Tamandua tetradactyla: one gene and its partner. The protein of the gene in region 2 interacts with the protein of the main gene of each other region in a pairwise test. Links are inferred from orthologs where the notes say so. Each region holds a gene or a part of one and is shown on either strand. Other genes may lie near its edges.

Region 1 (15,429 bases), on a different chromosome or scaffold from region 2:
CTGCACCACGGGGGGTTCCGGGGCTGCAGGACTTTGGGGGTTCATGTGGGGTGGTCCAGGCAAATGAGGACGCTGGGCTGCCTGTACTCCCAGCCCCCCCGCCCCCCGCCCCCAACCTGTTCTATCTCAGGCAATCACAACGTTCCTGGTGGTGACACACGGGCTGCCCCGGCAGGGATGGCAGTTGAGAGCATGGCCTCCAGCCCAGGAGACCGGCCCTCCGCTCGGCTGGGGGCTGTGGGACCTCGGCCGCTTCACTGGGCCTCTCTGTTCCTCCGTTTCTTTCTCCCCAAAATGACAGTCGCTATCCAGAGGGGGCTGTGAAGCTGCCTGGAGGTCGGCGGGGTGCCCAGCCCACAGGGGACGCTCAGCCGGCCTCTGTTACTGTAAGTCAGGGGAGGAATAGCAAAAACTAAAAATAAAAAAATCTAATAATAGGGGAAATGTAAATATTTTACAGTAGATTCAAAATAAGGACCATCGTCCAGCCATTAAAAACCATGTTTTTGAATAACTGTGAAGAAAATGGGAAAATGGAAGATGCTGAAGTTATCAGGTTAAAGTGAGATTCAAAAATTATACCCAGCAGGACTTCAATTGTGCAGAAACGCGGGCCAGCTGCTCCGAGGAGCTCCCCGCAGTGGTGGGTGACGGACAAGGTATATGTCTCTCTTTTTAAAATTTCTCATGTTTTCTACGATGAACTGTATTTGCTTTTATTATTAAAAACAACCCATAGACCTTATTTGAAACAAAAAAGATAAAAACCTACCAGGCTCCCTAAGGGAGCCATTTGGTACACCTCTCGCCTCCCCAGCTGGGGGGAAGCCTGCGCGCCCGCCTGTGTGTGCATGTGTGTGTGTGTGTGTGTGTTGGATTGCTATCACAATGGGGGGAGGGAGCAGGAGCCCACATAGTCCCTAGGAAGGGGCCACAGGCCTGAGGCCCTGCACACACCAGAGAAAAGGAGGGGACAGACCCGAGTGACTGCTGTGCCAGATCCCAACTTTTGCTGGGCAGGTTTCAAGGTATTAGTGCTCATCAAATAAAAATAAAAGAAAGAAGCAGAGTTGTCCTCTCTCATCTCCCTGCCCAACAGCCTTTGCAGCGATGAGAGGCAGGCTGGGCCGGGAGCAGGGGTGCAGATCACAGAACAGAAGATAATCTCAAACAGCTGAGGGCAATCCGAAAGGAATTATTCTCCGTTTGGAAATAAATGATGTTTTGGGCCTGGGGCAAGCTAGAAGATTAAATGTGCCGGCTCAGACAAATATTGCATTGCATCTGGCTTTGCTGGCAGGCGAGGCAGGGAGTGAGTAAGGGTGCAGGGAACTGAGGTGTATTCAGCACCTACCCTGCCCCGGGTGCAGATAGCACCCCCATACCCCAAATGCACTCCCTCCCAACAGGCAGGGCTGTCCCCATGTGCCACAGGGAAATAGGCTCAGAGAGGTGACACGATTTGCTTAAGATTGCAGGACCAGGCAGACTCTAACCCACGGCCTCTGACACCCCGAGGGAAGAGGTAGGTCAGTGGCCATGTGCAGAGGGCGGTGCTGGAGCTGCGAGCCAGGGATGGGGTCAGGGCCACCTGAGGTCAGACACCACGTGCCTCCCAGTCCACCCCCACCCCTCCGAGCCCCTGGGGAGCCTGCAAGGTGGGGCAGGGGGCAGGGGGTGCGGGCAAGGAGAGCTGGATTCTGAGAACAGCTAAGGACAGGGCCTCTGGAGGACGGGGCAGTGGCTGCGGCTGAGCGAGGCGGGCTGGGGGACCTTGCTGCTGGTCCTCCCCACCCCACCCACCCCCCCCACCCCCGACTGTGGCCCCGTCTTTGTAATTCGGGATTGTCCTGCTGATTCTTTCCGCACAGGAGAATGGGCTCCACAGAGGTGTGTCTGTGGGACAGGGGTGGCCCGGGAGAGGTGGGGGGCCCTGGAGGCAGCACCCCCAGGAGCAACCCTGCGGGAGGCGAGGAGTGGGTGGTCCTGCTCTGCCAACACTGCTTCCCCCAGCCCCATGCACGTCCCCCTGCACCCCAGAACATAAAAAGGTGCTCAGGGAATTCCTGATGAGGACCAAATAGCTGTGCTCCCTCCCATCCCAGCTGTGGCCAAGCTGCCAGTGGTGGGAGCTGAGGCCGGTGACCAAGACAGACTGTGAACTCCAGAATCTGGGGGTGGGGGGTTCTGCAGGATGGCAGGCAGGAGGCCCCCTGAGGGACTCTTCTCCACCAGAGATTCTGAGAGCTGCAATCCGCCTCCCGCCCTCCTTAAGGGCGGCCCAGCTTTTTGCTTTTAATTCTACATTTTTTTATTTACTTTTGGGTAAGTAATACAGAAACAGTTCAAAATTCAAGGTACAAAATGGTATTCAGCACAGTTCCCCTCCCCCCACCCGTCTGCCCAGCCTCACAGCTCCTGTCAACTGAGGTGCCCTGGGTGCTAGTTAAGGCCTACAGGTGAGGAGGGGGCCTCCCAGCCCAGCCGCCCCCTCCACGTCCCCCTCACCCACCCCGGCCCCCTGGTCACCCCGGCCTCCCCCCACTCCCCACCTCCCTTCCTGGATTTGGCCTCCTGCCTGTGAGCAAGGAAGCTGCTGACAGCCTGGCTCCTGAGACCACAGGGGACACGCCCCCTCCCCTCCCCCACCAGCCCGCTACCATCCCCCCTGCTTTTGGGAGGCTGCCCTTGTACACTGGGGGCAGTGGGGAGACCTGGGCGTTCCACCTGGCGCACCGAACCCCTGGGACTGGGGTGTGTGTCTGGGTGGATGTATGTGTGTGTGTGTCTGTCTTTGAATGCCTGTCCCTCTGTGTGTGTGTGTGTGTGGCCCCCACATTGTCTGCCCAGCCTCTGACCACTGACCTCTGACCTCTGACCCAGCAGGGATCCCCGGCTGTTTCCCAGGGACCCCCACGTAGAGCCCACTGGCTCCGACTTCTCAGAGGACAGGGCTGTCAAAGGGGTCACTGTGGAGCGCCTCCCACCAGGAGGGCCGCAGACTCCCCCCTATGATTTCAGTTGTGGTCCCTTCCCCTGCCCCTCACGTCAGCCATCTGTCCACATCCCTTTCCCATCCAAAGCTCTGGCTCTTGCAGAAGAAGCGCCACCCCCCTTACCCCCACCCAGGGACAGCACTCCCTGCCCAGGGGGCTGGGTCAGGGGCGGGGCAGTCCTCGGGCTTACCTCCTCCCCCTCCTCGATGTGGAAGTCCTTCCTGGTGTTGGGGCCCCCAACAAACATGATCTTGAGCTGCTCCTGATGCCTGTAATGGACAAGGGGGGCGGTCCTGACCCCTGTTTGGGGCCCAGGACACCTGGGAGAAGGTTGCAGGTAACCGCGACAGTTCTGCATCACTGTCCCTGCTGGGTCTCCCAACACCTTGTCTCCCTGCACTCTCAACCCCAGTGTGCACATGTGCATCTGTGTGTGTCTGCCTGTGTCTGTGTCTTTCTGGATGTGTGTTTGGGTGGATGTGTGTGTCTGTCTGTCTGTCTGTCTTTGAATGCCTGTCCCTCTGTGTGTATGTGTGTGGTCCCCACATTGTCTGCCTAGCCTCTGACCTCTGACCTCTGACCCAGAAGGGGGAGCAGCCTTGGTGGTGGATCTACAATGACAGGAGAGTGAGTTGAGGCCTCCTCTTCCCGGGACTTTTACCAACCCCCCAGCTGTCTCCTTATAAGCACCTTCCCTCTCCCCAAACTGCCAGGCCCCCCTCAGGGGACTCACGGGTCTGTGACATTCAGCAGAGGCTTCAGACATTATCCAATCAGCCTGGCATGGGGTTTAAAAACACAGGCCCGGAGCCAGCCTCCTGGCTCAGATTTGTCTCTGCCACTGAGCTTGGGCACATTACTTGACCTTGCTAAGCCTCAGTCTCATCATCTGTAAAATGGGGTCCTTACTTCAAAGAGTTCACCTAGATGACATGAATTACTATTTGTGAGAGTGCAGAACAGTTCCTGGCCTATGGTAAGTGCCACCCTCTCATTTTACTGCCAAGGAAACAAGCCAAGAGAGGGTCACACAGCCAGGAAATCATAGAACGAGCCAGGGCCCAGGTGTCCTGGCCACGGGGCACTGCTGTTTGGAACTTGAAGGGTGCCCAAGTGCCAAAGCCTGCCTGCTGTGGGTGTGGTGTCACCTTTTATAGGGAAAGACATGTATATGAGAGCCAGCACCTGCCCCCCAGCAGGGTGTCATCTCAGGGTGTGGGCACTGAACCTAATAAGCCCATTTGGGTTCCAGGGCCTTGTCTCATGGCCATATTACAGATACCAGGGCAAAGACTTTGCTGGGAGAAGGGGAAGTGCTGGGAGCAGGGTAGGCAGGGCCCTTTGCACACAGGTGCCACTGCCAATTTTGTGTAGAGGCTGCCTGCGCTGATGATGATGCTGTGTGGCAGCAGGGGTGGGCTGTGAGGGGGCATCTGAGACCCCAAACCTAGACTGGTAAATCTTTGCCGAGTGCCCTCTCCTTACCCCTCAGCACTGTTTGCCTGCTGTGATAGGGAGGGGGACAGGAAGGAAGATGTGGTCTCTTTTCTTTCCCTTCCCTTTTGGAAGGCAGAACCTAATAAATGAGAAGCACACACCCAGAATCACGCGCCAGAATGTGAAAGGACAGGTCATGGGGCATGAGGAAGCTGACATGTGTGTTTCTGAGCTGGGCTTAAAGCTGTGTAAGGTTGCCAGGAGTGGAGAGAAGTGGGAAGGAACATGGAGAAGGGAGTGGAGGGGAAAGCAGGACACAAAGGCACTGAAACTGGAAGCACTGGGGGCCCTGGTGGTTTGGAGGTATCTTAAGGAACGATGGGGAGGTGGGACCAGGTCGCCCCAGGCCTCAGGAGCCAGCTAAGGTTTTTGGACTTGGCTAGGAGGCACCAGTGAGCTCAGAAGGTCCTTCTTTTGTTGATCAACTTTACTGAGATATAATTTAGGTATATGTGGAAAGTTCTTGAACAAGCCCACTCAAGAACTGTCAAAACTTCCAGCAGCTTCTCCGACCTCTGTGGCTGCAAGGTCTGCCTGCCTTTGCCTGCACCCCTTGTTTATTTCTATTTATTGGCTGCCTCCTCCCATTAGAATATCAGCTGCAGGAGGGAGGGATTTTATCTGTTTTGAGCCTCCACCCTTTGGACCTGTCCTGCAGACTCTGCAAACATGGGGAGCACGAGCCAGGAGGTGGGGGCGCACCTGCCGGAAGAGAAGGGAGGTGATGGGGCCAAAGGGAGCCCGGCCTGAGAGGTCTGCTCGAGAGATGGCAGCGCCTGCTGTCAGCCCTGTCGGGTGCCACAGGCAGGGGGAGCTCAGGGAAAGTCTCGTGGGAATGGGTGTGTGTGCCTGCAAAGAGGGCCCAGGAAAGGGAAATAAACTAAGATCGCCCCCAAAGGAGCGGGTCCTCTGACTTCATCCTGGGTTCCACTGCAATTCTGGGGCATCTAAAAGCACCCTCCCCAAACCTTTGAGCGTTCCCGAAGCGGCGAAGAGTTAGTGGGGGTTGGAGAACTGTTTGTGGGTCCCGGGGGGAGCGCGGCAGCCCTGCCATCTCCATTTCCCACCGTCTCGGGGGGCGAACCAGCCCTGGGCATTAGACAAGGTCCCAGCCCTCCACGCCAGAAAGAGGAACAGACAGAGAGCTGGGACCCGGAACAGCATGCAGAGTCCAGGGCAGTGATAGCCCCTTGCTGCAGCTTCTGGGTCAAAGGAATTTGGGGCTGGAGGGTGAGGGGTGACAGGAGCAGACGGGGGGGACAAGGCGGCGGAGACGGCGCGGAGACGGATGCGGTCGGGGACTCACAGCAGCTTGTTGCACACGGGGGGCAAGAAGGACGCCCGGTTCTCCTCCACCCAAGTCTTCACTCGCACCGGCCCCTCCATGGTCGCCCGCGGCGCCGCGGCCCGCCCGGACCCTTCTCCTGTCCCGGCGTGGGAGGAGCGCGGCGCCGCCCCCCCGCCGATTGGCCGCCGGGGCCCGAGCAGCCCCGGGGTCGGCGCCCCCGGCCCGGCCCCGGCCCCAGCCCCGGCCGCCGCCTCCGCCCTGCCTCTGGGCCTCGAAGGGGCGCCCCCGCCCGCGCCGCCTCGCAGCCCGGGAGTCGCTCGGGTGTCCCGACCCTGCCTGGCGGCTCGTCGCCTGACTCTCCTCCCGGCCCCCGGGGGGGCGGCCCCGGGGACATCGTGGAGCGGAGACGACGCGGGGTGGGGACCCCGCGCCTCCGAGCCCGCGGGTGGCGGCTCCGGGCTTAAGTTTCAGTTCCGTACAGGAAAAATAGTTACAAAAACCCCTCCGCAGCCGTCCCCCAGGGTGGGGCGCGGGCGGGGAAGAGCGGGTGCCAAGCGGGCGCCCCGTTGATGTCCGCGCCTTGTCCCCTCGCGAGGGCCGAGGTCGGGCCAGAGAGGCCGCAGCGCTGCTGAGAGCCGCTGGCCCGGGACAGGCAGCGCTCGGCAGGGGACGCGCGGCGGGGCTGCGGGGGGCCCCCACCTCCCTCCCTTTGCCCGAGCCTGGGGTGCGCTGTGCCGCGGAGCCGGAGCCGAGCGGGGCGCGGTGGTCGGGCTGCAGCGTGGGGGCGAGCGGGGGCCGCGGCGCCGGGCGCTGTCGTGAGCGCTTCGCGTGTCTCAGGAGCACGCCCAGGCGACACCACGACCCTCGGAGGGGGCGATGGCTTCCGCGGGCTTTGTCTTTTAGCACTGGGATGCCCTCCTGCCCCCTCCTCCCGGTCTCGGAAAGCCCCTTGGCAGCTCCGAGGGCAGAAGCCCACCCCATGGGTGCATGCATTCACACTAAAAGAGGGGAAATGATTTCAGCCCAGCAGATGTCCTCTTCCATAGTACAAAGGGAAGGATGGTGGTTACTTTATAACTAAATAGCAAGATAATTGATGCTGCAAAGCAGAAGTTGGGAGGTCGGGATTATTCAGATTGATTTCTACACTGCCTAAACTGCTGCTGCACAATTACAGTCGAATAGGCTCCCCGGTTTGTGCTGTGTAGACAAGACCTCACAAACTCAGCTGGCAGACTGCCCAGCTCCAACGTGCTGCGCCGTTTGGCTTTAACGCTCAGAAAAGGGACCACTCTCCTTTGATCAGGTGTCCTGACATTGTTTAGTCACAGCCATCTGGAATCCTTCTGGATTTTGACCTTTAGCTCCTTTTTGGCCTCTGGACTTCACCTGCTCCCTTTAGCCCCCCTCCCCGCTGCTCAGTCACACCACGGAGTCAGGAAGCACTGCCTGCCCTAGGAGGGGGGCTCATCAGGGCCTGTCCTGCTTGATGGTGTCTGTCCTGCACCACCACCATCACCCCCCAACCCCCCAACCCCCCAACCCCCCAGCTGGGGAGGCGTGGGTGGAGGCCTCTCCCTTTGCTGAACCTGATAACCATCTGATCCCTTCAATCCCTGCTGGGCCAGGCTAGAGGCTGGCTCGACCCATAGTCCTGGGGACATTTCTGCTCCAGCCAGTTCCTTTCTCAGTCCACGTTGGTTTGTCTCTATCTGTCTCTCCCTCCTTGTGTCCTCCACTTTGTCACTGTTTCAGAAAATGCACCAAATATTTAAGAAAAATATCTTTCTATGAATAAAAGGGCTAGATCATGAACTATAACTGGTTCTTTGGAAATCTGGGTTCTGGTCTTGCTGTCTCAAGAGTTGTCAACTCTTGAGTTAAAAGAGACAGCAAGAAATTTTTAAAATTTCTAGATGTATGAGTGGTTTTTTGTCATTTTTTTTTTAGCTATCATCTTGGTTTTCATTTAGAATTTTACTGCATTGTAGTGAGTAAAAATAGCCTACATATTATTTTTGGGGGGTGGTGGAAGGATATGCTTAGATTTACCTTGCATCTCTCCTATGGTACTTTTTTGTGAATGTTCCACGTACCTGTGAAAATAATGTATGTTCTCTGCTTGTGGGGTATGTAGTTCTAAATACTCCTATGAGATCAAACTATTATGTTACTTTATCCTTTTTTATTTTTTTAACTGTTTAATATTTTGGTTTCTGAGAGAGGTATGTTAAAGTCTCCTGCTGTAATTTTTGGTTATTTTCTCCTTACAATTTGAATTGATTTTGCTTTATGTATTTTTTTTTTGTATGCTGTGCAGTAGGGGGTCATATTTCACTCTTGTCCGTGTGAATATTCCGTTATCATAGCACAATTTGTTGATTTTTTTGTTTTTTGTTTTTTTGGTACATAAGCTAAAAATCTATGTTTTTAGATGTTAAAAGTTTCATAACTGTTACATCTTCTTGCTATAATGTTTCTTTTATAGCTAAGAAATAGTTCCTCTTAGTATTTTTTTCAACTTTGATTACAAAGTTTTTGATTACAACTTTGTCTGATGTGAATATGGCTACACTGCTCTGGTTGTCAGTGTTTTCCAGGTATGGTATGTTGATTGAAAAGATGTCACGGTAATTCCTTCCCTCTCTGAATCCATCTCTTTGCTGTGTGGCCCTGCCCCCCTCCCATCAGCAGGGGAGCACGTGTCCCCACCCCTTTGAGTACGGTGGGCGTTGTGACTTGCTTTGAACAACAGCAGGGGGCAGAAATGCTGTTGTGGGTCTAGCCTGCAGGAGGCCTGGCAGCTGTGGCCCTCACCAGGTGCAGAAGCTGCGGCTGCCCTTCCTGGGGTGAGAGACCACGTGCAGAGAGAGAGCAGCCAGCGGCCAGCTCCAGCGTTGTAAGACTGTCTCCCACCCTCATCCCAGTTGAGCTGTGAGACACCTGTGAGTGCCTGTGTCCTGTGGGGTGGGGGGAGAGGAGGGGCGGGGGGCGGAAATTGGGGTGCAACCAGCAGGTGACCTGCCCTGCGGAGCTCAGGTCTAATTGCTGACCTGCAGAATCATAAGCGAATAAAATCATTGTTACTTTGAGGCGCTACATTTTGGGGCGGTGTGCTACACTGCAATAGATGATTGAGACAGCAGGTGTAGCCAGAATCTTCCTGTGTTGTTTTACCTCTCAAGAATGGCACAGAGGTGGAGTTTTAAAATCCAATCTGAAAGCCTGTCATTTTATAGGTAGATTCATCTGTTTCATACTTGTTTAATTATTATTATTTTTTTGGTATGCTGTATGGTGGGGTCACATTTCATTTTTCCATGTGAGTATCCCATTATTGCAGCACCATTTGTTGAATTTTTGCTTGTTTTTTTTGGTGGAGGGGAGGTGCACGGACCGGAAATTGAACCCAGGTCTCCTACATGGCAGGTGAGAATTCTACCACTGAACTACCCTAGCACCTCACTCCCCCATATTTGTCTAATTATTGGTATGTTTGTACTTCTTCCTGACGTCTTATTTTGGGTTTTCCAGTTACCATGTTGCGCTGCTGTAACAAATTACCACAAACAGTGGCTTAAAACAATACATCCTGTACTTCTGGGGGTTAGCAATCCAAATTGGATTTTATAGGCTAAAACCAAAGTATAGGCAAAGCTGTAATTTTTTCCTAGGTGTGGTAGGGGACCGTCTGTTTCCCTGACTTTTCCAGCTTCTAGAGGCCATCTCCATTCCTCTGGCTTGTGGCCCTTTCCCCCATCGCAAGGCACATAACTCCAACCTCTGCTCTTGTCGTCACATCTCCTCTTTCTCTGACTCGCTCACCTCCACCTTTCCATTGCAGGAGCCCTTGTGATTACATTTGACCCAGCCAAATAACCTAATATTCTCCCCATCTCAAACTCATTTATTTAATCACATCTGCACAGTCCCTTTTATCATGTAAGGTAACATATTCATAGATTCCGGGTATCGGGACCTGGAGATCTTTGGGGATAGGACATTATTCTGTCAACCACACATGTATTCTCCTTGTTTTTTCTTTTTTTCTTCTCTCTTTCTTTCTCTCTTTTCTACTCTATCAGGATACTTGTGGCTGTAAGTAACAGAACCCCCAGCTCAAAGCATGGCTTAACCAATAGTAAGTGTCATTCTGGAATCTGCTTCTTTTCATCCCTCCAGTCTGCTCTCTCAGTGTTCCCTTTACCCCAGGGCTGGTGTTTTAGTTTGTTAAGGCTGCTGGAATACAATTCCAGCAATGGCTTTTAAAAAGGGAATTTACAAGTTTACAGATCTAAGGCCATAATAGTGTTCAAGGGAAAGATAAGGCATCCAGGGAAAGATAACCTGACTCAAGAAAGGCCCATGGGTCCAGAACACTTCTGTCAACTGGGAAGGCATGTGGCTGACATCTGTTAGTCCTTTGGCTTCTAGTTTCAAACACCTTCCCTGGGGACTTTTTCTTTCTGCATCATCAAACATCTGAATCTGGTGTTAGCGCTGAGCTGTTTCCAAAATGGTTCGCCCTTAAAGGCGTCCAGTAAGTGACCCACCTTGAATGGGTGGAGACGCATCTTCATGGAAACCATCTCATCAACCGACTTCATGTCATGTCAGTTGGAAATTCAACTTCCCCATTTGGAGAATTCCTAATATTATAGATATCCCCTTTTTAGTTTAAGGTGTGTTAGAGAGGGTAGAGGGAAGTGCCTGAAACTGTAGAGCTGTGTTCCAGTAGCCATGTTTCTTGATGATGAATGTATAATGACATTGCTTTTGCAATGTGACTGTGTGAGTGTGAAAACCTTGTGTCTGTTGCTCCTTTTATCTACAGTATGGGCAGATGAGTAAAAAATATGTATTAAAAATAAATAAATAATAAGGGGAACAAATGTTAAGACAGATTGAGTAGATTGAAATACTAGTGGTCAGTGAGAGAGAGGGGTAAGGGGTCTGGTATGTGTGAATTTTTCTTTTTTCTTTTTATTTCTTTTTCTGGAGTGATGCAAATGTTCTAAAAAATGATCATGGTGATGAATATACTACTATGTGATGATATTGTGAGCCATTGATTGTATACCATATATGGGATGTTTGTTAAGAAGCTTCATGTTTGTATGTTGTTTTGGCTTGTCAATTAAGAAAAAAAGTTAAAAAAAAAGATTCCCTCCCAACAATGTTGAATGAAGATCAAAGAAGACGGCTTTTCTGGGCCACACAACAGTTTCAAACTGGCACAGCTGGATCCCTGAATGGTCAGGGGGAGTCTCCAGTGGTCACCAAGGCTATTGGCTTCCTTATTCATATCCAGTGGGGGGGGAACTGACCACCCATAGCTTTCCCTTAAACCAGGGCTCCTCAGTCTTAACACTCTTGACATTTTGGGTCAGAACGTTCTTTATTGTGGAGGGCTACTGTGCATTGTAGGATGTTTGGCACCCCTGGCCTCTACCCACTGGATGCCAATGGCATCACACTCATCCACCTCCAGCCTGCACACATCACCGAGTGTCCCCTGGGGGGCAGTGATGCCTGCAGCCCTCCCCTCTGTGTTACTGCCCACAGGTGGCTCCCATGCCCACACCTGAACCCAACTACTGGCCTGAGAGGGGGCAGGAGACTCGTTGGCTTAGCCTAGTTTACCCTTGTAGCTGGGGTGGGGTCAGCGTCCTCCCAAATCTGAGGTTAGGTCAGCGAGGGGTGGGATGCTCAAACAAAACTGCGACTGGGAAATGGATATGACACTTGGGGGGCAGCTAGCAACATACACCACCCCTGGTTTATAAGTTTTCTTTGATCCAGTTGGCCCCTCCACAACCTATTCCCATGTGTTTGGTGGTTATTCTTTAAATAAATGCATACATTGGAACTGTAGATTTCTGATAATGTCTGTTGTTAATCAGCACGTGTGTCCACCCCTTCTGTAAAGAAGAGCAAAGGAGCTTGAGCAAGCTTTAATTTCCTTCTGGAATTCCCTGTCAGGAACTTCCATGTTGCTATTATTTGGGTTATTATTTAAAGTTTTTATACAAGCAATATCTAGATGTCATTATATATTTTACTAATGTATTTGTTTTTGATTGTTTCTTGCATCCCATTACTTTTTCCTGGATTCATTATTGTGTGTATGTCTTTCTTCAAGAACTTCTTGACTTTTTTTTTTTTAAACATCATTTCTTATCTATTCTGTTATCAACTTCTGGAATTCTGTGGATGAATGTCGGAAATTTTTCATCTTCATGTCATTTAACTCCTTTTTTTTCCTGTTTTCCCATCCCCTATTGTTTTGCATTCTGACAATATATTACCTAATCTTCCATCTTCTTGTTCTACTAGTCAGTCCATCTCCTAAGTTTCAAATTTCAATGGTTTCATGTTTTTATTTACAAAACTTCTCGTTGGTTCTGTTTCACACTTGGCTTTGGTTCATGGATGTGATAATCTTCTTTATTTCTTCAGGGAAATTATCTGTTTGAAAGTGTAAAGTCTATACTAGTGAAGGTTACCCTAGCTGCTATAACGGGGGGAGAAACATGCCAGACTCAGAGGTTTAACATAACGGAAGTTTATTATTTTCATATAGTCCAATGGGGCCGTGGCGGTGCTCCACACAGCCATTTAGGGACCCGATGGGACCGAAGCTGACGGAGAATCCTGACTCCTCCATCACGTCGCTTCCAGCTGGCAGAAAGGGGAAAAGAGAGAGTGACAGTTCTTATGGGCCAGGCCTGTGCAGAAGTGGTGTGCATCGCTTCTGCCCCCTTTCCTTTAGTCTCCCCAAACTTCAAAGGAGTCTGGGAAAGGTCCAGCTATGTTCCCAAGAGGAAAGTGAAATAGGTTTGGTGAACAACTTGCCAAATTTGCCACGTAGTCCTGTTCTGGTTGTTTTTTTAATCTTCGGCTCCCCCAGGTATATCTTTCATCTCTTGTCTCTCTCTCTTCCTCAAACGTTTAAAAGTTTAATGACACTTGTGCAAAGCCATCTTTAAGTTGATATTCTCTCTTAGACTATTTGTTGCTGCTACTTGCACAGCCCTCTTAGGAAAAGAGGCAAGGGTTGCACTCTGTGCTGTTTTCAGAGGGAGTGGTGACAGGCAAAATCTGCCACCAAGTAGGGCTTCTCGGCAGCTGGCCTTCTGGGCTTGGGCACTCCCAGCTTCTCCTGGGTGCTCCCAACCGGGTGTTTCTCTGTCTCTCTGCTCTACATTCACTGCTTCCTCCCAACACCCCAACACAGTTGCTGGACCATGAAGGGGACAGTGTGGGGGTCACACACAGTGTGACCTCCCTGCTCTGGCTTCAGTGCTCTAACTAGCCACCCTAGCAGCTGTCCCTGGATCCCCTTTCACATCTTCATCCTCCGTGGGTGTGGGCACCCTCACCGATGCTCCCATCCTCCTTGGGGGGCTCTCCTCTTGGTTCCCCTGTGCATTCTGGGCAGAAGTCTTTTTCTTCAATCTAATCTTGCCCTCTTTTAGTCATTCCTTGCAGTTTCAGTTCCTTAGTTTCTTACAGTTCTTGGTCTATTGAGATTTTTCCTCATGTTCTAGTACAGCTATGTATTTATTTTTAAGCCTTTCATTCATTGGATTTGGTGCAGAAGGGAAAGATTGCAGCATGTGCTCACCCTGCCATTTTTTTTTCAATAGAAAAATATATTTTTATCAACAAATCTTCACACACATATAGTCCATACATGGTGTACAATCAGTGGCTCACAATATCATCACATAGTTGTGTATTCATCACCATGATCATTTTTCAGAACATTTGCATCACACCAGAAAATGAAATAAGAAAGAAAAAAGAAAAAACCCATATATCTCATACCCCTTATCTCTCCCACACATTGACCAAGTATTTCAATCTACCCAATTGATTTTACCCCTTATCCCCCTTATTATTTATTTTTTACCCATATTTTTTTACTCATCTGTCCATGCCCTGGTGTTCACAATCACACAGGCACACTGTCAAAGCTATATCGTTATACAACCATCTTCAAGACTCAAGGCTAGGAGGCGGCCAATATGGCAGCTCAGCGCGGTGTGGGATTTAGTTTGTCCTCCAGAGCAGCTACTAAATAGCCAAGAACAGTACAGAACAACTGCTGGGGCCATGTCAGTGACCGGACACACAGCGTACCCCAGTCTGGACCAGCTGGACCGGCTGTGAGCCCCCCCAGAACCGTGAGTTCCCCAAGCTGTGGCAGCAGGCGCCCCTCCCCCACAGGGTGCTTCCCAGAGGGGAAAGGAAAGGGACTTTCCCAGCAGCAGGGGCTGAGTGCAACCAGGCTTCAAGTGTGAAATTAGTTCACAAATTCTGACTACTGAAAATAGGCCCCCAGCTCAGCTGAACCTTGACTAAAAGCTGAGGTTGCTGTTTTTCCCCTGGCCCAGAGGGGGCAGGGCAGATGGAAAAAAAAGAAAAAAAAAAGACTTTTTTTTGGATCGGACAGGACAAAATACCTGAAAGGGTCTGGGCCCTGAAGGAAAGGAAGGGGCACATAGGACCTGAAAATATACAGAGCAACCTATTAACACAAGCTCTTGATTGGCAGATCCGAGGAATGGGGGTCCTGCTGTAAAAGGACTTTTTTCTTTTGTTTTTTTGTGGCTGTGTTTCTATGGCTTGACTGCTCTTTGCATACAACTGCAGGGCTTCTCAGGCTCCAGCTGCCCCAGGCAAGGGCGGAATTAGCTTGCCTGAGAGGCAAAGAGGCTGGTCAAGGGAAAGGAAGTAATTCCCTGGAGGCTGTACCTTCCCAGGAGAAGAGCAGGGCCCAGCTCAGGTGGAATCCCTCCCTCAAAGAGTTCAGACCCAAGGGTCTGGAAAAGTGAAGTGATTAAAGCCAGCCTACAACCTCTCCTCTGTCTCGACCATGCCCCCAGTAGGGAGAGTCTGCTGAATTTAAAGATTCTGCATCAATTTAGGCTGGTGAGACCCGCAGGCAGACAAGTACCACATACTGGGCAGGATAGAAAAACCCATTCTAGACACTTCATAGGAAAGTCTTTCAACTGCTGGGTCTCATCCTCAGGGAAAACTGATGCAGGTGACTCTTCCCTCCTGCGAAGAGGCCAGTCTGGAATGGGAAAATCAGACTGGGGTCTGTAATACCTAAGTTGAACCTCCTAAGAGTGGGGGGGAATAAAAAGGCACCATACAGGCAGGGCAAGAAACAAGAACTGAAAAATTATGATCTGTTAATACCTAAGCTAGAGGTCCAGAAAAAGCTGAAATGAATGTCAAAATACAGATAGACAACAAACTCATCCAGCAAGAAAATCCTAGGTAAAAAAAAATGAAAACAATCTCCAGAATAAACTAATTAAGGAAATTGAATGTCTAGATGCCAGCAAAAAATAACAAATCATACTAGCAAAATTAAAGATAAGGCCCAGTCAAAGGAACAAACCAACAATTCAAGTGAGATACAGGAGTTGAAACAATTAATTCAGGATGTTCAAACAGGCATGGAAAACCTCGTCAAAAATCAAATCAGTTGTCTATAGATGAAAGGGTCTATATCTAAACACTCTATTCGATTCCACTGGTCAATATATCTATCAAATAGAGTGTTCAGATATAGACTCTCTCACTATGGACAATTAATCTTTGATAAGGCAGTCAAGCCAACTCACCTGG
Region 2 (15,371 bases):
TGCCAACTTGGAATACACTCTCCCTGCCCTTTTCCCCCATTCCCTCTGAGACTCTGGGTCTGCAAACTCGCCCCTTCCCTCAAAATCTTTTTCCAATTCAAACTCAGTCTTAGCCTGAAATGCAACACACGTAAATGCAACACATAAATTAAAAGAGGAAGAAAGTTCTAAGAGCTTCTTGTGAAGCTTTGTGACCCCAATGCTGCCTCTGTAGATACCAAGATCCTCTGGGAACCACACATGTCACAAAGCAGGCTTGGAAGAAAGTCCTAAGAGGTACAAAGGAAAGACAAATTAATCTGTAGGATTCAGCTTTGCTTCCCCAGGACTGTAATTCAATAGTGATGGGTGGAGGAAGGCAGGGATGGTTTTGGTGATTAGAATCCTTCCACTTACAGGAACCAGTGTATTTTTGGAGAGAAGAATACGAAGGCAGAGACACCAGGCCCTTCATTGTTTCCAGCATCTTTTAAAACATTCTAAAGACCTTAAATACACCAGAAGGGACAAAAACAATTATAATAGGGCTCCACACCTAGATATAAAGATGGGGGGGGGTGTCATATTCTTTTCTTCATTTCTTCGCCCACTTTTTGATTCCTCCTGCAAATCTCCAGAGTCCAGAAAATGAGCTGGCACTCATTTGCCAGTGGATGGAGTAGCATCCAGATGGCTGCAGTACACCTACTCCTGAATTCTGAGACTGGTTTCCCAGTCCCAGAACAGTGAGCTGTGGAGTATGCTGGGCCAGAAAGACCAAACCCATGTGGCCTAATGGAGGTGAGGTCCTCCCAGCTGAAACCCCTCTCTCTAGGTCTCTGACCTAGGGCTTCTAGGTCACTCCTTGGAAAAAGCCTTACATCTCTGCACCTTGAGCTTCAGAAACTCCTTTCCTATGGACAACTGCAGGGACCAAGACCTCTCAGGTTTTGCATATTAACTTTAAAAGAGGTGCTGAGACAGGCACTCTCAGAGATGCCATCATAGGGTTGAAAGGACAATTATCATACAACTGCAAATCAATCCTGGACTATACCTCCTGTACTGCACTATGAATCAACATTTTCCACAAATATTGTAATTATGAATATCATAATTCCATTGCATTATAATTTGTGTTAAAGACCATCAATTTGCTAATGTAAACATTTAATGTATATTGTCATTGCTTTCACTCCATTTTGGAAGGTATTTGTTTTAAAAAATATCGGAAGCCTCTAAAGAGGAAGTGACCCAGGCCCTTATTCTGAGAGGCTCAGGAAGGATAAGGATAATTCTCCAAGGATTAGAAGCGGTGGATGACCTAGGTAGAATGGATAATTCTACTTAGTTTAAGCTTGTAGGCAATGGATAACCAAGCTCAAAATTCTTAGAGGCAAAGAGGAAAGTGGAGGAAAGCAGAAGCTGTAGTTGTGTTTGGTTGGTTTTTAACACTCAGGCTGGCTACCAGGAGACCACAGGAGGTGAACCCTGAGGTGATTGTGCCTCTGGGCTGAGAAGGTGTGGCTGCTGCTGGTTCATTCCCCTGCCTTCAGACTCAAACGTCTGGAGGGCTCAGTGAGTGGGGGGTAGCAAGGGGGTAGAGGAACTAGAGAGCATGAACATTCCTAGAGGAAGCAGCCAGTCCTCCATTCCAGCCAGCTGTTTCCACAGAGAGCTGCAAGTTGCATGGGGCATTAGGCACAAGGCCAAGGGGACAAGTGGAGGCTGAAGCCCAGCCCATGCTCTGCCCATCAAGCTGTGTGGCTGGCACAGAACTTCGTCTGTCTGGAGAAAGGGGCTCTTTTTCTGATTTTTATGCGCTAATAACACCCTGCTGGATCACTCCCCCCCCCCCCCCCCCGCCATTGCTTTCTTTTTTCTGCAAGGGAAGCCAGAAATACATATTTGAAATCTCTCTATCTTCCAAAGTTAGCAACTAATACAAATTAAGACAAAACAAAACATACCCTGTATGGACTAAATAAAACAGCTCAGGGACTATCTGGCAGCTAATTTAGGACCTCTGCATAGATAAGTGATGGAGGCACATGGGAAGTTAGTCGATAGAGCCCAGGGCTAGAACTTAGGGCTCCCTATGTCTCTTTCTATTTAGGTCATGCCACCATGCCTGTAGCCACACTCTCCAGCTCTTGGCAAGACCCTGGATTTCTTTTAGCTGATCACTCTCCCAGGGGAATTTTTCCCCCCAGAACCAAGAGTACCACTGATGGGAATCAGGGCCTTCCTTGCAGCCTCACTGCTTGGCTTGGGGAAAGGAGGCTAAGAAGGAGAGTGGGGGCAGGAGGGGGTAGTGTATCATGGCAGGGCATGAGGATGCTTACAGGGGTTACCCTAGGCAGTGAGTTTGGGAGTGGAAAGAGGACCATCTGTCCCTCTGCTATGTAAAGGAGAAATATCAAACCAATGACAGTGGTGGGTCAAGAGGGCACGCTCCCAGCCAATAAAGGTTTGTGATGAGGGGAGTGGTGTGTGTGGAGGGAGAAGGCTGAAGATCCAGAGTCAAAACCAAGGACTGTATTTTACCTCCACTAGGTTAAAATGTAAAGTCAGAGTTAGCCCAGTGTGTGGAAAATAAATCCTCCTGGAGTTTTGTTTCGTTTTCTCTCTTTCCCAGAATCAAAGCAAAGCCTCCTAGCTTGTGGTCCCAAATATAGTGTATTTTAACAGAAGACAATTTCCACTCAACAGACCTATCTTGCCTTTTCCTGTCACATGGGATTCAGCTATTCTGAAATGACAGTGTACTTATGAGGAGGTGGGAGAAAAAAGGAGCAGAGAAGAAATTCTTTAAGGATGAAAGCTCCCATGTGCTCAAGAGCTCTTTCTTATGATTGGTAGCGAGGGATGGGAAATTAACGCCACGTTCGGGCCCCCTATTCTCGGACCCAGAGATGCTCAACTCTTTCCTGCCCCCTTAACTTTACAGGGCATGTCGGGTGTGTCCCCAGAAGGGGCTCTCAGACCTTTTCCCGCGGACCCGAGGCAGAAGCAGGGGTTACAGCCCCACCCGCAAAAGCCAGGAGGTGGGCATGGGGGTAGATGAAGGGCAGCACCCCGGACAGGCAGGGACTGAACCCTTCACAGCTTGAAACGCCAGCGGAAGGGCAGCTCCTCCTACCCGGCCCTCAGATTCCGCGGGCGCCTGGGCTTGGCTCACTCAGTTCTGCTTGTCCGGCTGCACGACAATGACGGCTGCAGAAGCTGAGCGGGGACCTGGCGCGAAACGGACCATTAAGCCACGAATGGCGGCTGGGGGGAGAGGGCTATTTATAGAACAAAGAGCGACTGCCGCCAGCTGCCCCAGCTCCGGAACGCGGCCCCAGCCTCGTCCCGCGGGCCTCCAGTGCTGGGGCGAGGGCCAAACCCTGGGGCCGGCCAGAGACAAGGCAGGGCCTTCCCTGGAAAAATAGCTAGGTCCCAAAGTGGGCATTTCCTCGGGGTAGATGCTGGTTCCCAGGGTCAAGGGGATAGAGCCTGAAATTCAGGAGCTTGGCGAAGCAAAACGGGTGGGGAAGTGGATTCCGGAGGCTGCTAAATAACTCCTTTGATCGAAATCCAAACTGTCGCCGACCGCCCTTGGGGCCCCAGGGAGCTGGGAAGAACAGGCCCAGAGAGCACCCATTTGCCGACCGGCTCGCGGGCGCTGTGCTGGGCGGTGTGAGACCCTCGATGCGTGCCCGGGGCGGACTCCTCTGTTATCTCCCGAGCAGCAGCAGACGAATGGCTCTTTAATAAGCCCCTCGTTAATCTCCTCCACCCCCGCCTCTCCACCCCCTGCCCAGGGACATCCGTATTTTCTGGCCCGATAAGGCTAGACAATTTTAGACTGTGAAATGTACCAAGGAAAGCAAGCGCTCATTGTTCAGCTGGAGCCACTCAGCTGTGTCCCTTCGAATAAATCTCCCTTTCCTTTTTTTTAAAAAATTACATCCCTTGCGCATTTTCATTTCAGACCCTCATGTCTTCGGAGAGCAGTTCTTTCTCCTTTCCAGCTCCCCAGATCTATTTTCCTTCCACCCTGGCAATTCGTGCCTGACACAGGGCCCCACACCCACTTGCCCCCTTTATCTTCCCTCCGTGTCTTTAAGGGCACACCAGGAAAACCCTCCAGACTTCGCCATTGGCACGTCTCCCAGTTAGGCCACCGAGGGAAGCAGGCAATTATTTTTCCTATCCCCGAAGCCCCGAAAACGAAATCTTAATCCGTGATAACATCTTGGGTCAAAAACCCTCAAGCCTGAGAGGTCACTTTCAATTTTCCCAGACTTGGGGGGTGGGGGTGGGGGTGAGGTGGAGGGGAGAAGGGGACAACATGTCAGCCAGTGGCTTAGGCAGATACCGAGCCTTTGGCCGGCTCTGCAGGAAAGTCAGACCAGCTCACGTTTTCAACGAGGCGGTCGCGGGACTCGCCCGCAGAGCGCAAGGGTGGGAGGCCCAGGTTCTGGGCCGGAAGACCCGGGCTGCCGTGCGGGGGCGCTGTGTTCACGCTCTTCCGCCCAGACGCGGCTCCCTGCGATGCCTCAACAAGGTCTCAGGCAGTTGGAACTCCCTAGGAAAGGGAGGACTCGGGACGGTCAAGTCCTGTGAAGGCACCGGGGCTGTAGCACTTTAGAAAACCAAACCCAAGAGCCGCACTCCTCACGAGCGTCCCACTCTTCCAAGCCGAAAGGCACCCGTGGGCCCTTTGACTTACCGCAAATCTTGAGTCCCAATTTTCTGGTGCATCCATGGGCCACGCCACACCAAGTGTCATACGCTAGGATTAATAAAGAGCGAGAGAGGTGCTGTCAGTGAGGCTCGGACTATGGGGAACAGGGTGGAGGGTAAAAGTTTTCTCGGGGGTGGGGGCGGTGTCTTCGCTAGTGTTCCATATTAAAAGCCCCTTCCTGAAAGGAGCGGGAAGCCAAATCTGCAGTCAAACGGGCAAGCTCGTGCCCTCCGAGCCCCATTCACAACCTCTTCCTCTTCCTACCTTTAGGTACAACGGCATTTCTGAGATGCAGCGTACCCAGCGCCCCAGGATGCTGGAAGCCGCCGATGTGGGATAGGGAGGGGCTGACCTCAAGCGGAAAGGACCCGACCCGGCCCCGCCCAACACCCACCGGCCAGGCCTGTTCCCTTGGTCTCGGCCCCGCAGGCTACCACAGCGGCCCCGGAAAGGGAACACAGAGGCATCTGGGACCGAAACGTCTCATCATTTCTTGGCGGGTCTCCAGCCGAGTGGCAGCTTAAAATAAACTGGCATGAAATGGGGTCGCGGAAGAGTTCAGGAATTAATTGGGTGAAAAATAGTATTTGACTAGATGATCGGGCTCGCATGGCTGCCCTTCACTCGGACCAGGGAGGCGGGAAGACAATGGTGCACCTCCCGTCTTCAGTCCCGTCGCCCTCCCCCAACCTGCCCCTCATTAACCCTTCCCTCCGACATCTCTGCTCTGGAGCAGGCGAAGACAATTTTTCTTCTTTACCAGGCTATTTGTAAACCCGTGAGAGTCTACCTGCCTTGGGGTTTAACTTCCAACAAAGAGCGAGGAAAGCTGCCCCGGGCCTGCGGAGTGAAATCTTCTTCAATCCCCGACGCTCCGACACTCTGACCCCTACCCCCCATCCCACCTCACCCCACCCCACCCCACCCAGACCCGACCCTCCAGCGCGAGTGCTGGCTGCGATAAGGAGAGTGACATTCATTAAACCCCAGGCACAACAGAGCCCCAGAGGGGAGCGGAAACAGCCCGGTGTCGGTAAGACATCCCAGATGGGTGCGGGAAAAGATCTATTTCTACCTGATAAACTGCTTTCACTTTAAACACCATTTCCTCTCATCCTTGTAACAAACCTCTGAAATTGGCAGGAGGAGTGTTAATCTAAGACCAATTTACAAATAAAATCATTGAAGCTCAGAGAGGTTTTGCGAGTTTTCCAAGGTCATTCAGAGTTCAAACACCTTGCACTGTCTTTCAGAGTTAGGGGTTACAGTGAACAAAAGGGAAAGGCAGATGGGGACAAGGAGCGAGAGAGCCCCTTTAATGCAGGGGGAAGCCCAAGTGGCGGACTTCATCCCCGAACCAGGGGTTGCTGAGCAAAAAGCCAAGTAAAGTTGTGCGGGCTGAACAAGGCCACCTCAGGAGACCTTGCAGGAGTGGAGAAGAGCTGCCTGGGCGCAGAGGGTATGTCTGCAAGGAAGGGTGAGAATGCGTGGAGAGCCGGGCATATGCGAGCAACCAAAGGGCGCCGACGCCCAGGATGGTCTGTTAGGGGGTGGGCGGGCAGCAGTGGTCCATGGGACAGGGGCAGCCTGCTCTCCCTGGACGCGTCCCTCAGCTCAGAGGCTCTGTTCTGTGCTAGGGCTCCCGCGCACTCGGGTCAGAGCCTCTGCTGGGTTTCCGAACCCAAGCCGGGTATAAGCGCCCAGCCACGGGCGGTCGTGGGGATGTAGAAGCGTCGGGCGGAGGGGGAGGGCTCAAGGATGAGTGAACACAACGGCCTCCAAGCCTCTCCAGGCAGCAAATAATAAATAAATAAATAAATAAATAAATAAATAAATAAATAAATAAATAAATAAAAAAGGGGGCGGGAACGTAGCGAGCACAGGAAAAGGAGGCTAGAGCAGAGAGACAAAAGGCACGGAAGCCTCGCGTTCCTCCGGGCCTGCTCCGGCCAGTTTGGCCTTCAGTGCCGGACTCGCGTGCCACCAAGGCTGGGCAGCGCTCCCGCGTCCCTCTCTGTTGTGCGGTTAGTAATTATAGTCCGCCCCGGGAAAGGGAGCTGCAAAGGGAACTGGAACGAGGCCTGAGGACTTAAGGCCTTCTGCCCAGGAACCAGTGGCAACGGCAAGGGGCTGGAGAGGGGGCTTAGCCCGTAACACTCCGGTTCGTTGATGGGGACAATTGACGTTTTCTCAAGCTGATGGACAGTGCCACAAAAGAGCTACAATCAGCCCTCCTTCTAACCCAGTGTCGTCCCTCAGCCCCTCCTACATAGAAATTCTGGGGTCATCACTCTGGAGCTGATAGATTTGAGGAGGGAGAGGATTTCATTCCAATATGGAGAAGGAAAAACAATTCCCTTGTCTCCACACGCCTCTACCGAGAGGTAGAAAATCAATCTGAATTAAAGGCAGATTCTGGAAACGAGTTGAGAAGCGCGCTGAACTAGCGGTGAGGAAGCATAAATCCTTCCCCCTGTTATCTGGTTTCTCCCTTCTTTCCCCCTCTTCCGGACGTATCACCTGCTGACAGGATTCCTCTGCCCAAGAGATAGGAGAGTCTCCGCCCGCCCTGGCAAACCTTCCTACCGCCTCCCCCCAAACCTACCTCTCCACATTCAGTATGCTGCTCGCTCCTTTTTTTTTTTTTTTTTTTTTTGGTCTGTCTCAGAGATGTAATTAATAGTCTGAAATGTCGAGCATTAGCCTCAAATCATTTTATGCACCTTTCCCGCCCCTGGCTTCTCCCTCACTCAATAGCTCGACGCAAATTTGGAGCAATTAGGGACCCTGAGTTTTCTACAAGCTGCAATTAACGTCGAAATTTCCGCTGATTACAGACTTTCAGCGCAGCGCAGGGGGAAAGGAGGAGGGGGTCAGATCTCGACTCAACGAAAGCCGGAGACAGAAAACTCTATTCCCGCTGGGGCTCCCCGCCCCTCACATTTCCCCCAGCGCTGACCCCGGTTGTTCCACAAGGCAACGAAACCACACACACAACAAAAACAAGGCTCACACCGCGCGCCCTTCCCCGGCCGCGGCGCCCTCAGCGATCCCTGTACCCAGACCCTGAGTGGCTTCGTCTCTTGAGCGCCCGTGAGGTGCCCAGCGCCCCCAGAAGCCGAATGACCTCTGGCCGGGCTCCGGGTCAGGGCCGCATTTATTTCCGAGCTCCCTTCATCATTTTTGCGCCCCCCTTTCCTTTCCGCCGGCGAAGCTCCCCGTGGCTCAGCGCCCCCATCTTCCCCGCAGTACATTTGACAGGAAACTGGGGCGGGACCTACTTGTGGGGCGCAGATTGGTGGTATTGGGATCCGCTCCCGCGTTCGAGGCGGCGGCGGACGAAGAAGGGGTCGAAGACGCCATCACCTCGGTAGTCCCGGGGCCTCTGCTGTCCAGGGTCCTCTGCGTGCCGTGCGCAGGATCAGGCTGCAATGAGAAGCTAGAGCTGTGCTGGTAGAGCCTCGGGGGTCCCGCGAGCTAGAAACGGCTAAGCCGCTGGGGGCACGGACGCTCTCCTTGGAGTCGGGGAGCCGAAGAGAGAGGAGGGAGGAAGGGCAACCAACTGGCTGGGCTGGGGTGCGCCGGGGGGAGGGGGGAGACGTGCGCGCTAGCTCAGGGACTGGGGCGCCCGCAACGTAGACCCGGGCGACTCTCCACTTTGGCGGAGAGGAGACCTGGAAATGCTGCTCTAAGAGGTTTCAAGCCCAGCATGGGACCCAGGGATGCGGGGAACTGGGCTAGAAAGCAAGGGAGGCTCAGTGTGCGTTTTCCCAGCCGAGAGCGACAGGCGCCACTGGGCACTCAGCAGCCGGAGCACCAGAGAGCAAGCAGGGGGAGGGCGCACGGGGAGGGCACGTCTGACTCTGTGTCTGGTTCCAGTTGTTGTGTCTGGCTAATTCCCTGGAAAGAAGAACGCGAATTGCCCCGGGGACCGGAGACTTTGCTGAGATAAGGTGAGGAGGATAAGAGGTCGATTCATTCATGTTCTTCCTCAAACTTGGCCGGGGAAGGGCCACAGTCATCCTGTACCCCAGACAGCCAGAAAGCAGTGAGTCGGGACCTCGCTTGTCTTCCTGTGATCCCACCCCTCTTTGAGTCACCTGGAAGCCTAGGACGAGGCTCGGTCTCTGTTTGGGTGTTTCTCCAATTGCCCAGCTCCGCCAAGGACCCAAGATTTCTCGCTATACAAAGCCCGAGAGGTTATAGGAAGCAAGAAAGGGGAGCGTCACTGGGGAAATGAACTTGCGACCAGCGCGCAATAAACAGCGACCAAGGATCGCTGCGCGGCGTCCCTAAGCCGCGCGCGGCGCTGGCGCTGGCGCTGGAACGGGTTAGATGGCGTCCGAAAGACCCAGGACAGAGAGAGTGAGGGTGAATCTGGGTATACCTAAGACCCCGCAGAGAAGCGCCTACAGCCGCCGCCTCCACTCGCCCCCAGCCTCACAGCTAGCTCGCGCGCGCACACGTACACGCACACGCACGCAGCCCACAGTAACGCTAAAGACCCGCAGACCGCAGCTGCTGGGGAAGTAACAGGTTTCCGCTGTGAGTCGCGCCTTCAGCTACTACTGCCCAGGCACCATTTGGCTAGGTGGGCGCTTTCAGCCGAGGAACATAGGAGAAACCGCTCCGGTCCCACTTCAGCGCGAAGTTCATTCAGCCTCTATGCTTCGCCAGGGCGCGAATCCCGCGAGGAAGACAGAATGCCACCTACAGAGACCCAAGGGCGGGGGGTTGGCCGAAAAGCTGCGGACGCAGGGGGCACAGCTGAACAACAGAGGCTGGGCGCTGGGCAATCCAAGCGCCGGTACGCTTACCCACTTCAGCCCTGCAGCCACTAGCCGGGCGCTCCCGCCGCTCCTCAGCAGCGCCCGGCGATCCGCTCGGCTCGGCCCTGCCACCGGCGTTAACTATCCCGCGACACCTCCAGCTGCCGCCTCGCTCTTGCTAGCTCCGTCCCGCACGCGAGCGTCAGGAGGAGAGAAGAGAGATTCCGAGAGGTGGCTGCTCAGCTTCAGGGGAGGCGGGGGCGGGGTGGGGGAGGCGGGGACCGGCTCAGCGGGGGAATCACGAGGCCGCTGCTTGCGGGGGCCGCTGGTCGGCGGAGTGGCGGGGCTTCTTTGCGGGTGCCTGACCGCCTCTGGTGCTTTATAGGGCGATTACAAACCCAGATCACGGTTTTGCGCCAGAAAAAGAAGACCCTATGAGTAATCCAGAATGTACTCAACACGCTCCAATTTTTGAAATAGGGTGTCGGATGAGTGGTGGGAAAAGATGATTCCTACGGAGAATTCTGCCTCTGAGCTTTTCTTTCTCCCTCCCTCCCTTTCCTACCCTAGCCCCCGCCCCCGCCCATATCTTTGAGGAGACAAGAGAGTGACTTTGCCTCAATCTCTTTCTCCTAGATCTGGGATTCCAGGACACTTCATATACGAAAACGCACGGTGGGTTCTGTCCTCGCTGGCGCTCTGTTGAGCCAGGACTGTTGTAAAAGCAAACGAGGCATCTCCATTTCCTTCTCCTTCCCGTTTCCTGGTTCAACTCGGGGCCTCTCCAAAGTACCTCATCTGAGCACAGCTACCTTGCGTCACGGAGCAAAAAGTCCTCCTGATTGATTATGTCTGAAGGTTAATAACACGCACGAGCGCCACTCCAGACACAAGGGGAATGAGAGCAGAGAGGTTGCCCCGGGGACAGGCCTTGGGGAGTCACCTGAGGTCGGACTGGGCCTCCCTGTCCTGGCCGACTCCCCTGACTCCCCCTTCGATTTCACGTCCTTTAAGGATTCTCCCTTTGCAAATATATAAACGCATTTAATGAAATGCCGCGTTTCGCTAAAGCCCCTCGTTGCTAAAAGACGTTCATGGGAAAAACTCCCACCAGAGGGCGCCAGGCGCCCAGAGACTCGGAGGCCTTGGGCTCGCAGTGTCTTTTCCTCCTGCGCCGGAACCAACACCTGGAGCGGCTGGTTGGGCTATTACTCCCCAGCTTAAACCACCCTCTTCGGTAGTCGATATTTTCTCTTCCCTGAGTTTCTTTTTATTTAGGGCAAAACAAAGTGGATTTGTGTGTGCATTTGGGTGACACTGTGTAATCACTGATTCCTTTACTCGTTTTCACGGTGATTTTTTGTTTCTTAATGTGGTGCAGCAGGCACAGTCGAAACACCGAAGATCTTACAAATCATCGAAAAATTCCATAAGGAAGATCGAAGATAACGCTGGGGGAAGATGCAGTTCGATCAGTAAGAGGGATCTCGCTGTGAGATTTGAAATAACCGCGTTGTCCTTGATATCCAGGAAAATACTGTCGCCCTCTCCACCTCACAATAAAAGCGCGGACACACTTTATTGGCAAACGGGTCCTGAACAGCGGGCGCACGGTAACCGCAGCCCCGGAAGCCAGAGCTTTGCGCTGGGCAGGGGTGGGCGTGTCGACTGTGCTAAGGAAATGTCCCTTCGAACCGCTCACCCAGCCCTTTTCCGCGACACTTGAAATGCGCGGTTTACAAACAGGTGAAGCTCGGAATTCCCCCCACGTCGCTACCTCGCGCCTTGGCTGAAAGAGATCGCACGAATTGGTCACACCAATCAGGGAGCGAGATTCCTTGGAAAGGAAGATTCGTTTACTTCACTTGTAGCACCAGACTGAGAAATTTCCAGTCACCCCTCCTCTGACCCCAGAGTCCAAAATGTTTACTCTTAACGTTTAATCAAGAAAATAATCTTGTTGGGAAAAGGAAATCTTCTGAAGATTAGGTATCGCAAATTAAAACTGAGTCCACCCAGCCGCGAGGACAATCTCCCTTCGCTTTCTTATGGTGGAGAAGGGAAGAAAGAAGATTCCAGCTCTTCCTTAGTTTAAAAATGTTTAAATTTAGTAATTAATTAATTAAACGCGTATTTATTAGTCACCTACTATGTGCCAGACATTATTCTCATGGAATTTACATTATCCTTAGAGCTTATATTATAGCTGCACTCTTGGATATGCAAGGAGTGTGACAGACAAGATCTCATGGCGTTAATTTAATTTCCAATTGCCTCGCATTCCAACTCAGACTCTTGGACTCAGCGGGGCTGGTAAGGGACCAAGATCCTTGGAATCGCCCAGTTCGTTTCTTGAGTTCGGAAGCAGGGGCCGATTCCTTCAGCACCAAGGGCAGCGCCCGCCGTTCAGGCCCACAAGGTCCCCTTTTCGTCCGCTTTCATCATCTGTTCTTTGCCTACCTGCCCCGCTATCCCCAGCCTTCTTCTACGACTGTAACAGCTGTTTGTTTTGCAGGTTTGGGGTTTCTCTCCCTCTTCTCTCCTCCCCTGGTAAGAATCTGGACTGAAGGTGGTTGTGATTGTCTTTCGGCTCTTGAGGACATTTGAAATTTATTTATATTGTTTCTGTTTTCGGCTCTTCTTTGTATTTTTATTACCCTGGGGGCGGGGAGGAGGGGGCAGGATGTTTGGGAAAATTGAGGGTGGAAAAGAGATATCCTCTCCAGGGAAAAAAAGATATCCTCTCCAGGTCCGGTGGTGAGGGGTGGGCCGGAAGGGAGTGGTGTCCGCTCAGCTGTTTGGTTTGCATATGATCTAAGGTCTGGCGCTTTGAAGAAAACAGAACAGAACGCCCAGAGGCAAGGGCAGTGGGGGTTGGGTTGGGTGGGGGTTGCGGGGTGCCGTATGCAACCCCCTCCGGTGTTTCTCCCCAGCGTTGGGATTTGTTATCCGGCAGCCCGGTTGCTAGTTCCTCTCCGCCGAGGACAACCTTCCTTTAGGTCAATGATTGCTGGGAATTGGGAACATGACCCTTTGCCCACATGCCCTTTCCCCGGGACGTTTAAAGATATTTCAACCGGATTTGGGGCAGAGACTTTCTTACAAAAAAACAGGGGGGTGGGGAGGAGGTAGAAGGAGCATGGGGGCATAAGGGCGTGAAGACGTGCTAAAACGGGCTCGGGGGGAATTTTTTGGCGTAAAATATGGTCCATGTCAAGGTGAGTAGATGAGAAACGTCAATCTTGTTTTGTTTTTTTTTTAAACGCATTTAGCATTTATAGCCTCCAGAAAAGGTAATTTAGAGCTACTGGGTTGGTTCATTTCAGCTGGCGCTTTAAGGTCTATTTTAAGTCTCTAATTTATGACCAAAAAAGAAAAAAAAATGGCAGTGCTCACATTTAAACGTCTGTGTCCCGAGACGAGGGCTGGGGGAAGTGTTACTTAACCTCACATTCTGCTTTTTTTTTTTTTTTTAAGTGGGAAGCAAGGTTCATTTAGGGTGTTTGAGTACTTTAAAGATAGTTCCCCCAAATCATTCTGGACTTTCTTTGGAGGACTATAGCTAAATCGACACCTCTACCCCGATAGACCACGCAACATTCACTCTATGGAGACAGGAAAGGGTTAAAAGAGTGGCAGGGAGGCAGGGTTCCTGCCAGCACATTGGAAAGGACTCCGGAAATTACAACAATTTCCCCTAAAAAAAGATAACTGAATTCCTCAGATAATCACCAAATGATCCCTTCCCCCCTTGACATTTAGAAGATGAAATGTTCTAATCAAGGAGGACAGAGTGATTTGTATTTGGGCAAATCTTGTGCAAATCTGAATATGCTTAATTCTTGCTATTCCTAACACGTAAATGAATGGACCACCAGGTGGCGATGGATTACAATTTCTAAGAAGAAACAGGCCCCACAAGTGAGCAGTTCTTCAGGGGAAGGCAGGTTCTTCCCAGCTCACACTCATACCCAGCCATATTTCACAAAAGAAGGGCCTTTTAAAAATGCTGCTGGATGCTGCTGGAAGTGCCCTGAAACACTCAGGGTCTTCTGTCTCCTCAGGGAAAGAGAAAGGGATGCCTGCCATCCATTTCTTTCCCACACAGCCACATCTTTAAAGGTGGCCTTAGGAAGTGAGCTGTCTGATTAATATCAGACAAGTAGCTGTTTCATTGCAAAACTGGAGACCAAGGAAATAACAGATCTGAATTGTAATTCTGACAGAGTTTTAAAGATGTAACTGTGTTTTCTGCTTTCCTCTCCTTAGTCTTTTCCTAGAATGGGGTACAAGAAAGATAATTTCCCATATTTCTTTTAGTGTAAAAGCTCTTGAGCTATTTACAGTAGTAGGTATTTAGCCTCCATTTTCAGTTAGGTATCTGAGACTGTTGTTTGTGAGAGGGTTCTGATTCAGTTGTGTGGAATCTGATAAACTTCTATTTCAGATCACATTTTCCTAATCCTGGCCAGTATGCAGGGGAGAAAACTGGAGCCTTAACAGGAGGAATTCATTGTTTTCACTCTAACCAGATCCCCTTCATACCAAGAACTTTTAGGTCAGAGCTCACTGAAATGTATTCTGGTCCAAAGTTCTCAATTGGATCATTTTTAAATCAGTTCCAGGGGATTTTCTCAACAAAGTTAGTTATCTGGAGCTCATTCTTTCTACTAAGCTGCAAGTCTGAGGTCCTGTTTTCTTTGCCTATAGAAGACCCAAAGAACTTGAAATCTTAAGCAATTCCTAAGTGTGAGGATTAAATGAGAATTACAATCTTCTTACTGGGGCTTGAGGCATATTGTGTCAACTTCATAGCCAGGAAAAAGTCAGGGACAAACATCAGAGCATGGGACAAACATCAGAGCATGGGAGGCTTGAATGATTAAAACTTTTTTCTTTCCCTAGATCAAGACTGTGTAACCTCCCTCCACCTCCAAACCTGTTGCTGTTGGGTGCTCAGATATGTGATTTTCTTTGGCCAGTGGAATGGAGCTAATTGGTACTGAGTTTGGGGGTGATGTGTTATGAATCATTATTGAGGCAATCACTAATGAATATGCTCTCTCATACCAAGGTCAAGAGAGAACTGAAGTAGGACCCAGGGAAAAGTCTTAGGATAGGCTACCCAGGATTTCTTACTGTGAGCCCAGTCTGGTGCGTGGTGGTGGTGGTGAGGTTAAGAGACTGTTGGTCAGGAGAGACACCTAAAGAAATATCAACCTACTTCAATACAGCCAGCAAAAGCACAATGCACACAGGTTCTGGTGAGCATAGAGAAGAGATAGAGCTATTGGGCATGGGTTCCCCATTGCAACAGGTCAATCCATGGCTGACACAGGGAGACGTCCCATGCACAGCACCCATCTCTTGTGTTCATATGCTGCCCCAGTGAAGGAACCCCACTCCCTCCCTGTGAGAGACAAATGTACCACTGGGGTATGAGCCAGATGTTGTAAAACATGCCTACCAGAGTCAAACTGTCTCTAGTGAATGTTTACATATGCTTGGGATAATAGAGGAAGGAATGCACCAGCAATCCCCTTATCAACTAGGGGTTTGTGTTTTATCCCGCCAGGCTGACACACTGATTCTGAGTAAAGGATGTATTTGTGGATTCCAGACCATGCTAGGACTACCCACTACCACAGGGACCTCTTTCTCTTTCCAAAACCACAAGTGATAGAAATGGTCATCCTTCTATTACAAAAATGAGAAATAAGTCTCAAAGAAGCTATGTGGGGTGTTATTTAGTAACTAAAGATATACCCTGTGTTGATTGTATGAATTCCCACTTAATTACCACCCTGAGGTTTTCTATTTTACAGATGAGGAACCTGAAGTCCAGAGACGTTACAGGACTTCCCAGATCACATACTTAGTAAGTAATGCTT

Evidence for each region.
Region 1: the proteins of GAD1 (region 2) and HAAO interact in a two-hybrid assay, tested with the Homo sapiens proteins (4 studies listed by BioGRID and IntAct). The two-hybrid records come from large-scale screens. The link is inferred for Tamandua tetradactyla from reciprocal best matches to the Homo sapiens genes GAD1 and HAAO.

The regions. Positions count from the first base shown.
Region 1 is NC_135343.1:14,357,323-14,372,751, forward strand, and holds the start of HAAO (3-hydroxyanthranilate 3,4-dioxygenase), read right to left. Parts: upstream 5,941-15,429; 5' UTR 5,880-5,940; coding exon 5,800-5,879; intron 3,266-5,799; coding exon 3,187-3,265; intron 1-3,186. UniProt on the Homo sapiens protein: Catalyzes the oxidative ring opening of 3-hydroxyanthranilate to 2-amino-3-carboxymuconate semialdehyde, which spontaneously cyclizes to quinolinate.
Region 2 is NC_135329.1:142,414,827-142,430,197, reverse strand, and holds the start of GAD1 (glutamate decarboxylase 1), read right to left. Parts: upstream 8,107-15,371; 5' UTR 8,075-8,106; coding exon 7,993-8,074; intron 4,760-7,992; coding exon 4,697-4,759; intron 1-4,696.